Oryzias latipes: one gene and its partner. The main gene of each other region encodes a partner of the protein of the gene in region 2 in a complex. Links are inferred from orthologs where the notes say so. Each region holds a gene or a part of one and is shown on either strand. Other genes may lie near its edges.

Region 1 (3,963 bases), on a different chromosome or scaffold from region 2:
AAAGCTGCAACAATAGGACCGTTTGTGATGACTAAGCTTTTCCTCATCAAAGACTCCATTCACTGATGGTACAGAAAATAGATCGTTATAAAACTCTGGTTTTACATAAAATTCCCAACAGTACTAGAAAAAATAAAATCTCATTTTTAGACAATCTTTCAATCAATAGAAGAGTTTCTGCTTTTCCCTCCACTATGTAGCAGAGGGTTGTAACACTTACAGGCTACGTCTGTTTCAGATGGATCTGGATTTATACGTTATTTGGGTTCTACCATCTTCTTTTTTACAGAAACACCTTAAAACCTCTGATAGTGAACTTAAATAATGTTAGGAAAACGGATCAGATGTAAAACCTGCTGCATCTCTGCTCATGTTTTACTAAAAGCTTCACTTTCTGGATGTTTGTCAATTTGTTCAAATTTACTGTTAATTTTAATCAAACATACTTAAAATCCTTTCAAAAAAGTCCTGTGACTTCATTATTTTCTAATCAACACAGAGGAAAGGCTTCCGGCAGGAAGTGAAGTCCACTTGGCCTCTTGTTAAACTGCAGTGATTATTTTTTTATAGTTAATTTTATGATTCATTTTAAGTATTGAAATCATGGAATTATACAATAAAGAACAGAAATCCAAAATTTAAACAGATTAAATCCATTTCAGATAAAAAGTAATAATTGATAAGAAAAAAGATGTAATGAGATGATGCTATCATATTGACAGTGTGTTTATTCATAATTATAAATAGATGCTTTGCATTAATGCATACAGAACACATGCACGTTACATTAGACCATTAAGATGCACTACCAAGCGTCATTGATTATCAACAAAAACATTAGTTATAAGTTCACACATCCTTATATTTGGGATTTACATGAACACAAAATGACCTGTAAGTCCTCTCATCTCCATATTGAGAAACAAAAGTTTCCTTCTACAATTTCTTGAATTTATGGATATTTAAACATTGTAAGTTGAACACTGATTGAAGGGAAAACCTAATGATATTAGAGTAAAATGTTAAGTATCTATAGTTAGCTTTGATGTCTGATTTATTATTGTTACATTTGTTTTACTAACTGCACTTCGCACACTGCTGTTCTTGGCCTCAACCGCAGGGGGCGCTGTCACAGCAGATGACCGCCAAACACCGGAAACCCCGCAGAAAAAGAAGAAGTGTTTCCGGGTCTCTGTGTCAGGCTGCGCGCCGCTTCTCCGTGTTTTTGTCTTCTTTTTTCTGAAGCCGTCTTTGTTTTGAGGGATTTTCGGAAGCCATCATGTACGACCAGGACGAAGGTGAGGCGCGGATTCCACGCAGCGCCGTTAGAGCTGCGCGTGAACGCTCACGCATGGCGAACGTCTCCTCCATCCATGATCATGATGTTCCATGTTGTTCAACCAAAACCTGTCTGAAGCTTCTTTGCATGCAGCAAGTTTCTGGAACCGGACTTTCTGTAGTTGAACAGACTCTTAAAACCGAGACGCACGTAGTAACCAGGGGGGAAAAACACGCGTGGAAAACGAGCAGACTAGGAAACACGCAAATAACTTTAGTCAGTCCGGCTGGGGGGAAACATTAGCACTTTGTCGCGATATTTTGAAGTATTTTATGCCAAACCAGAAATGTTTGTTCACCAATATGGTCATCATTGAATAGTTGGAGAATTGAAGAAGAAGAAGACTGTTTTCTGGGAATGGGCCCACCACCCTCCCTGGTCAGTGGGATGCTGTGGGAGGTGACTGCCGTGCAGGAGCAGCGCCGCTCCACAGCAGCAGGAGCAGCAGCTGAGTGGCTTTAACATCTGTTCAGTCTGTTTGTTAACCTGTAAACACGCTCACTGATTCTGGTTAAGTGACTGTCCGAATAATCCAAATCTACAATTCCAAAATCCAGATCGCTAGAAATTTCCCAGAAGTCTCTGCGAAAAACCAGTGTGCCTTGATGGTCACTTGATTGGTGAATTTGGACCACAATGCATTGCGTTTGAACAATTTTTCATTTGAAAAAAAAGTATTTAAAGGAATTTCTATTAACCATCATCATGATGATGATGATGGTCATCATCAAACATGTTCAGATTTACGTCATAAAATGTCATATTTGCCATAAAAGAAAAGCAGTAAACATGGCTTTAATTGGCTTTAATAACCAGGGCAATAGATAGTTTTTTAAGTAGTTAGGATGTAGAGAAGGAATATGAACATAAACCCTCACTCCCTCTGTCATGATAACACAGTCATATACAAACAAACCTTTATTTGCAGTCCAGACCGATGACGGACACCCACCAAACTAACTAGAGCGTAACCCTAAGGAACCAACAGCTCAGTGTTGATGACCAGCTGCTGTCAGTTACCTTTAATGTCTTAGTGTGGATGTGGCCTCATCATTTCTGTGTCTGTTAGATAACCAGTATGATGAAGACGATGATGAAATCACCCCAGATCTGTGGCAGGAAGCATGCTGGATCGTCATCAGGTAAGCTCACCTGTCAGGCCCACTGTGACAAAACATGAGTGGGTTTCTGCTGCCGCACACGCAGCAGTCACGCAGTCACCAGAGCGTTCTGCATCAGAAACCCAAACTGCTGTTTAGATAGAGTTCAATAAAAAACAAAGGAAAAGTTGAACCTTTTTCTGATCATCTTTTACACTTTAAGCCTCTTCAGTCATCTCTTTTAATCATCGGTTCTGTGAGTTTCTGGTGCAGGATGTGACGCAGACGGTTCTGATCCGCTGCAGCTCTCCGAGCTCTTCCTGAACTGCTGTCTGTTCTGCAGCTCGTACTTCGATGAGAAGGGTTTGGTGCGGCAGCAGCTGGACTCCTTCGATGAGTTCATCCAGATGTCCGTGCAGAGGATTGTGGAGGACGCGCCTCCCATCGACCTGCAGGCTGAAGCACAGCACACGTCAGGGGAGGTGGAGGAGCCGGTGAGTCTGCGTTGGCTGGTTTGGGCTGCAGGTCCTTCAGTTTTAGTAGGAGCTTCTGATTTTTATGCCACATCAGGGCTCCAGACTAACTTTTTTCACTAGGAGCACTGTGGCCCCTAACTGAAAATTCTAGGGGCGCATACCGTAAATCAACATGCTAACCAAATCTATTCATTTCCACTGTATTACTAATAAATACTTTAATAATAGATGCAGAAATTAAAATGTGCTGTTTCAAATTCAGTGTCACATTTTATTCTTCACTTTTGAAGATGCAACAAGAAGGTAAACTGACAGCACCATCGCTGTCATGACAGTACAAATAGTAAAGAAAACAGATGGAAATTTATCTTTGTGACACCAAATAGGTGCAGCCAAGATGCACAATAAGTGTGTTTGAGATCACCCAGGTGAACTCAACGCTGCACAGATCACCTGGTGTGAGACATATATTTTTGTTTTTGCTCCAACATCAACTGTCAATCATCACAAAAATATCGCGAGAAAGGGGTGGGAGCAAGGGGCAAACCTACCCGGACACAGCTGGAAACTAGAGACTACAAAACAATGCATTATGGGACATGTGTCCTGATGGTTTTTGTAGTGGAGTGATTAATTAAAATAATTTAAAATACCAATTCATTAAAAAGGCTACATACATCACAAAACATTAAAATAATCATAAAATATATAATAACACAGATCATACTAAGGGGGAGAAGAATATTAAAACTAAATTGAATGTTAAGGACAACTCCAACTGTTGTCCTTCAGTCTTGCTGCAGATTCGCCTTCATCTCACAGTGCCCCCCCCCCCCCCCCCCCCCCCCCCCCCCCCCCCCGCCTGGTCTCCCTAACGATCCAGGCGAGGTGCCGGTTCATCTCAAACACGTCTATCGTTGCATTTTCCCCACGTATTTTCAGTGTGTCTAAAACTAATCTTGTTTTTGCTCGAGCGTGTTTAAAGTTCAAGCCCCGTTAGCTGTCACGCATGTAGGTGTGGGACATTTATTCTCCTCAGCTGACCCGA
Region 2 (3,950 bases):
CTCCCCGAGGCCATCCCCATGTCCCACGTTTCCCTGCAGGTACAGGAAGTCTACCCCTTCCACGACGGTTGGAACGTCGCCTGCTTCGTCATCCTCCTGCTCTTCATCCTCACCGTTCTGTCCCTGGCCGCTCTGGCCGTTCTCTACGAGTTACTGGACTGCGGCTGCTGCGCCAAAGGGAAAACGCGCCACCAGTTGCAGCAAGAAAGGTCGGGAAGCTGCAGCAATCTCATGACGAGAACATGCAAGGAGCTGGAGAGCCACACGGAGGTGGTATAGCAGCAGCACAGACAAAGGAAAATGGAAGAGTTTGGGGTTGGGATGCCCAATTTATTGCCAAAACAAGCACCCCTGATACCATAGACTGTCTATTTGCATGCATCCAATTCAGAGGCAAAGAAAAAAATGAATCAATGTTCCAGAGTATTCTGTACACAGAAACGTTTGCCGAGTTAGGGCTTTAAAGACTCATGTCATCTTTGTTTAGTTTTGTGTTTTTTTGCCGTTCTTCTATGGTAAACACACAGTCGTGAATTTGTAGACACAATAAAGGTTTTCGTTTGGCTTCCCACAAACCCGATAAAAGTTGATGGAAATCTTTTCTTTTGGGTTAAAAACATTGTGGTATGATAAAAAAGAATTGTTATAAATAAACATGATTCATTTAAATGGATGTTAAGGCGAGCCGAAAGTTGTAATTGTTTGTAGTGGATGTATAGAAATCAGCTGCCACTCTCATGTTACCAGGTGGAAAATCTGACATTTCTGAAACTTTTTTAACAGATGAAGACGTTTATTTTCCAAAAGCAACTAAATGAAGTGATAAAATCTAGCGTTGGACGGCTGTTGGTCAATGTGGTATGTTGGCATTTTCATGAAGACAAACATAAAAAGACTAAAGAAAATCAATAAAAATGAGATCTAACAAAAAGTTTGGTTAAAGAGTTTGAATTTTCTTTCTCTATATTTCATGATTCTTATGAATCAGTCCTTTCATCCAAAGAATTCTTTTAGGCTTTATTTATATTTACTATAAAAATGTTAGAAGTCATTTTTTGATCTGTGCACACCTTTAAAAAAAAGCAATGACAGCAGAATTTTGACCACTTTGCTTTTCGTAATTATTCAAATATTTGACTCAGAATAACCTATGAGTGACAGATGAATGAGTTTTGATTGCCTAGGTGTTACATCATCCATCCATTAAAAAACAACAACATTTAAACCAAACAAAAGAAAGAAAACATAATCCTTAAAAATAATCTGCCAGTTTCACTCAAAGACCCCCTCCGATCATATTTTGATCTATTGTGAAAGCGTTTCCATTGGTCTTTTACTTAGGAGAAGGTCATTTTTAGCTAAAAATTAAAAAAATCTGGGTCGTTTTTCTAGGACATAGTTTCTGCAGGGTGGCAGTAGTTCATTGGAATTTCACCTGAGTTGCGAGTGGGACCAGCGGCGCTGTAAGGAGCAACCCTACCCCCCCTTCCAGTCATCCATTACTGAGCTCTCTGCATATCCTCTCTCATAAGCTTACAGCCTCTCACACACCCAACCCAACATTGGTGAGCAAACTTAAGGTTTACGCCAGATGGCAGCCCAGGCGAGGAAAACAAAGACGTACATGGATCCATTTGTCTGCAAGTGGGTTTATCAGAATGGAGCGGAGCAGCTTGTGGCACGTCCAGGAGAAGCTCAGTAACCAGATATAAAGCATGACCTACCAGTGCTGTGTTTGGAGCCAGAGGAGCCTTCCTTGTCTAACTTGGGCTTCTTCTTCTTGTGGGATCCAGAGTCTGATGCAGCTGGTCTCTTCTCAACAGCCGGCGTGGAGAGAGCTCTTTTCTTAAACAGCTCCCTCTCGCGAAGCAGAGCTGGATCCATCCAGGCTGGTGGACAAAAGCATGTAAACACAGAAAAGGCTGGATAAAATGCAGTTTTACTAAGCTTCAAACGTTTAAATTAAATATAATTTATGAAATAAATATAATACTGAAACAGTGAGGTGCATCATCTCCATGCATATCTATTATACCTGGTATGTTTACCTGGTTCTTTTCTCAATCTAATCAGTGATGCAGCTGTTTTACTATTTTTTCTTCAAATATTAAGTAGAGCATAAGGATTATTATTAGTAACTAGATTTGATGTTAAAACATTGTCTTGACACGACAGGATTCTGTTCTTCAAAACTACGGTGTTCCATTTGTGCCAAAAATAATTGTGTTCGGTTCTTCTACTGACAATATGGGCCAAAGACATGGAATTACTACATTAACAGTGACCAAAGAAATACACTTAATACAGAAACAGTGGACTAAAAACTCAACTCAAAACATATTTAAACATATATATAACAGAAGTTCGCTGTTTGTCCGATTAGCTTCTTCTTCAGTTTATCGGGAAAAAAAAAACTTCATATAAGCAGCTAAAAGTCATCGAGATGAACCTTTAGAGTCCAGTTTCCCCAAAGAACCGAATCCCGTGACAGCATGACCCACATAACCGCTAATTAATGTTCCCGCATTGTCTAACACCTAATGTGATGCTAATCCTAGTGTTAGCATGTCAACGTTACCTGCTACTGTTGAGTTCTTCTTTCCAGAAAGTGGCGAATAAGTCCCGATAGACTAATTTATAAACTAAAAAGTGAAATAGAAAGACAATTTTAAGCTTAAGTAAACTCAAGCTTACTTTCTAATAAAAAAGTATTATTTTTGTATCCATCATGTAACTGTTTCGTTTAGTGTTCGAGTTGTCGGTTATCGTTATCGTATGTTATTCCTTGGGTGACGTCTTCCGCGTGCAAGCAAAAACCCGCAGCTGTGTAGCTCAACATCGCCACCTACTGGACTGGAGGACAGTCAACTTATTTCAGGCAAGAGAGCTATTTTGGTTAGGGATTCTGAAACTATAGCTAAAATAATGAGTGTTCTGTTTCACAGTTTTTAATTCTTGCCGGAACGTTTAAAAACAATTAAATAGTTTCAGCAAATGTTTCTCCCCCAACATTTTCAGTTTTTAAACTGAAAATTATTGGATATTATTATAACCAACAGTTTGTAATAAGACATTAAAAGTATTATTTCCAACACCTGACTGTAATATGTTCTGTTTTGCATTGTGGTGTGATTGCCATTTCGATTATAAACATAATCTTTACAAGTTTTCTTTGCCAAATTTTGTGCTTTGACCAATAAAGTTTAATCTCATTTCTTGTTAAAAGATGAAACACTTAAGTGAAATGTTAATAAAGTTCCAGGATTTATTTTTGAATAATATTTTTAATTTAAAGCCTTTTTTTTTCTTTTTACTGTAGAGGAGCCTACAGCACGTAGTTACAAAATACATTACGATAGCATACCTTTTGCAGTTCTAAAGGGGTGTAAAGCATTACTATGACATTAAAGTCATTACATACTTAGTAATGAGACGAGAACACATGAACAAAAAAACTCTGCTAAAAATATCTTTATAAACTCATGGTTCATCACTTTTAGCTTAGAAACAATAATTTAACTTTTGATTTCTTGAACAAATGTGTTTATCTTTTTTTTTTTTTTTTTCTTGAAGAAAAAAATGTATCTGATCAGTTATTTTTGACAAAGTGTGGTGATTGGAATCATTATTTAATAGACAGCTCCACTTTTCCTGAGGTAAACAGACCCCTACGGTTCTCCTGTCACTCTGTTATCCATTTAGGTAGATGACTCATAGTTTTATTTTAACAACAAAAAGCTGTGATTCTGCTTCCTGTACTTTCACTTAATGATTATTAAAGCTTATCGCCATTTGTCTTAGAGTGAAATGCTTGACAGTACCTTGTCACTTCCTCTACTTCTGTAGGTCTTACAAAGAACGCTATAAGTAATAATTGATTACGAGTCATAACTTTATAAGTAATAAAGTTATGTAACGCAGTGTAACTCTGACACAGTGACAGTTTGGAG

The links.
Region 1: gtf2e2 (region 2) and polr2b share a complex: the UniProt entries of both Homo sapiens proteins name them as parts of the TBP-based Pol II pre-initiation complex. The link is inferred for Oryzias latipes from reciprocal best matches to the Homo sapiens genes GTF2E2 and POLR2B.

What each region holds. Positions count from the first base shown.
Region 1 is NC_019868.2:3,851,943-3,855,905, reverse strand, and holds the start of polr2b (DNA-directed RNA polymerase II subunit RPB2), read left to right. Parts: upstream 1-1,163; 5' UTR 1,164-1,279; coding exon 1,280-1,298; intron 1,299-2,408; coding exon 2,409-2,481; intron 2,482-2,782; coding exon 2,783-2,933; intron 2,934-3,963. UniProt on the Homo sapiens protein: Catalytic core component of RNA polymerase II (Pol II), a DNA-dependent RNA polymerase which synthesizes mRNA precursors and many functional non-coding RNAs using the four ribonucleoside triphosphates as substrates.
Region 2 is NC_019859.2:11,937,264-11,941,213, reverse strand, and holds the start of gtf2e2 (transcription initiation factor IIE subunit beta), read right to left. Parts: upstream 2,801-3,950; 5' UTR 2,579-2,800; intron 1,890-2,578; 5' UTR 1,885-1,889; coding exon 1,725-1,884; intron 931-1,724; exon of another isoform or gene 280-930; coding exon of another isoform or gene 1-279. Other genes in the region: smim18 (small integral membrane protein 18), read left to right, coding at 1-279. UniProt on the Homo sapiens protein: Recruits TFIIH to the initiation complex and stimulates the RNA polymerase II C-terminal domain kinase and DNA-dependent ATPase activities of TFIIH. Both TFIIH and TFIIE are required for promoter clearance by RNA polymerase.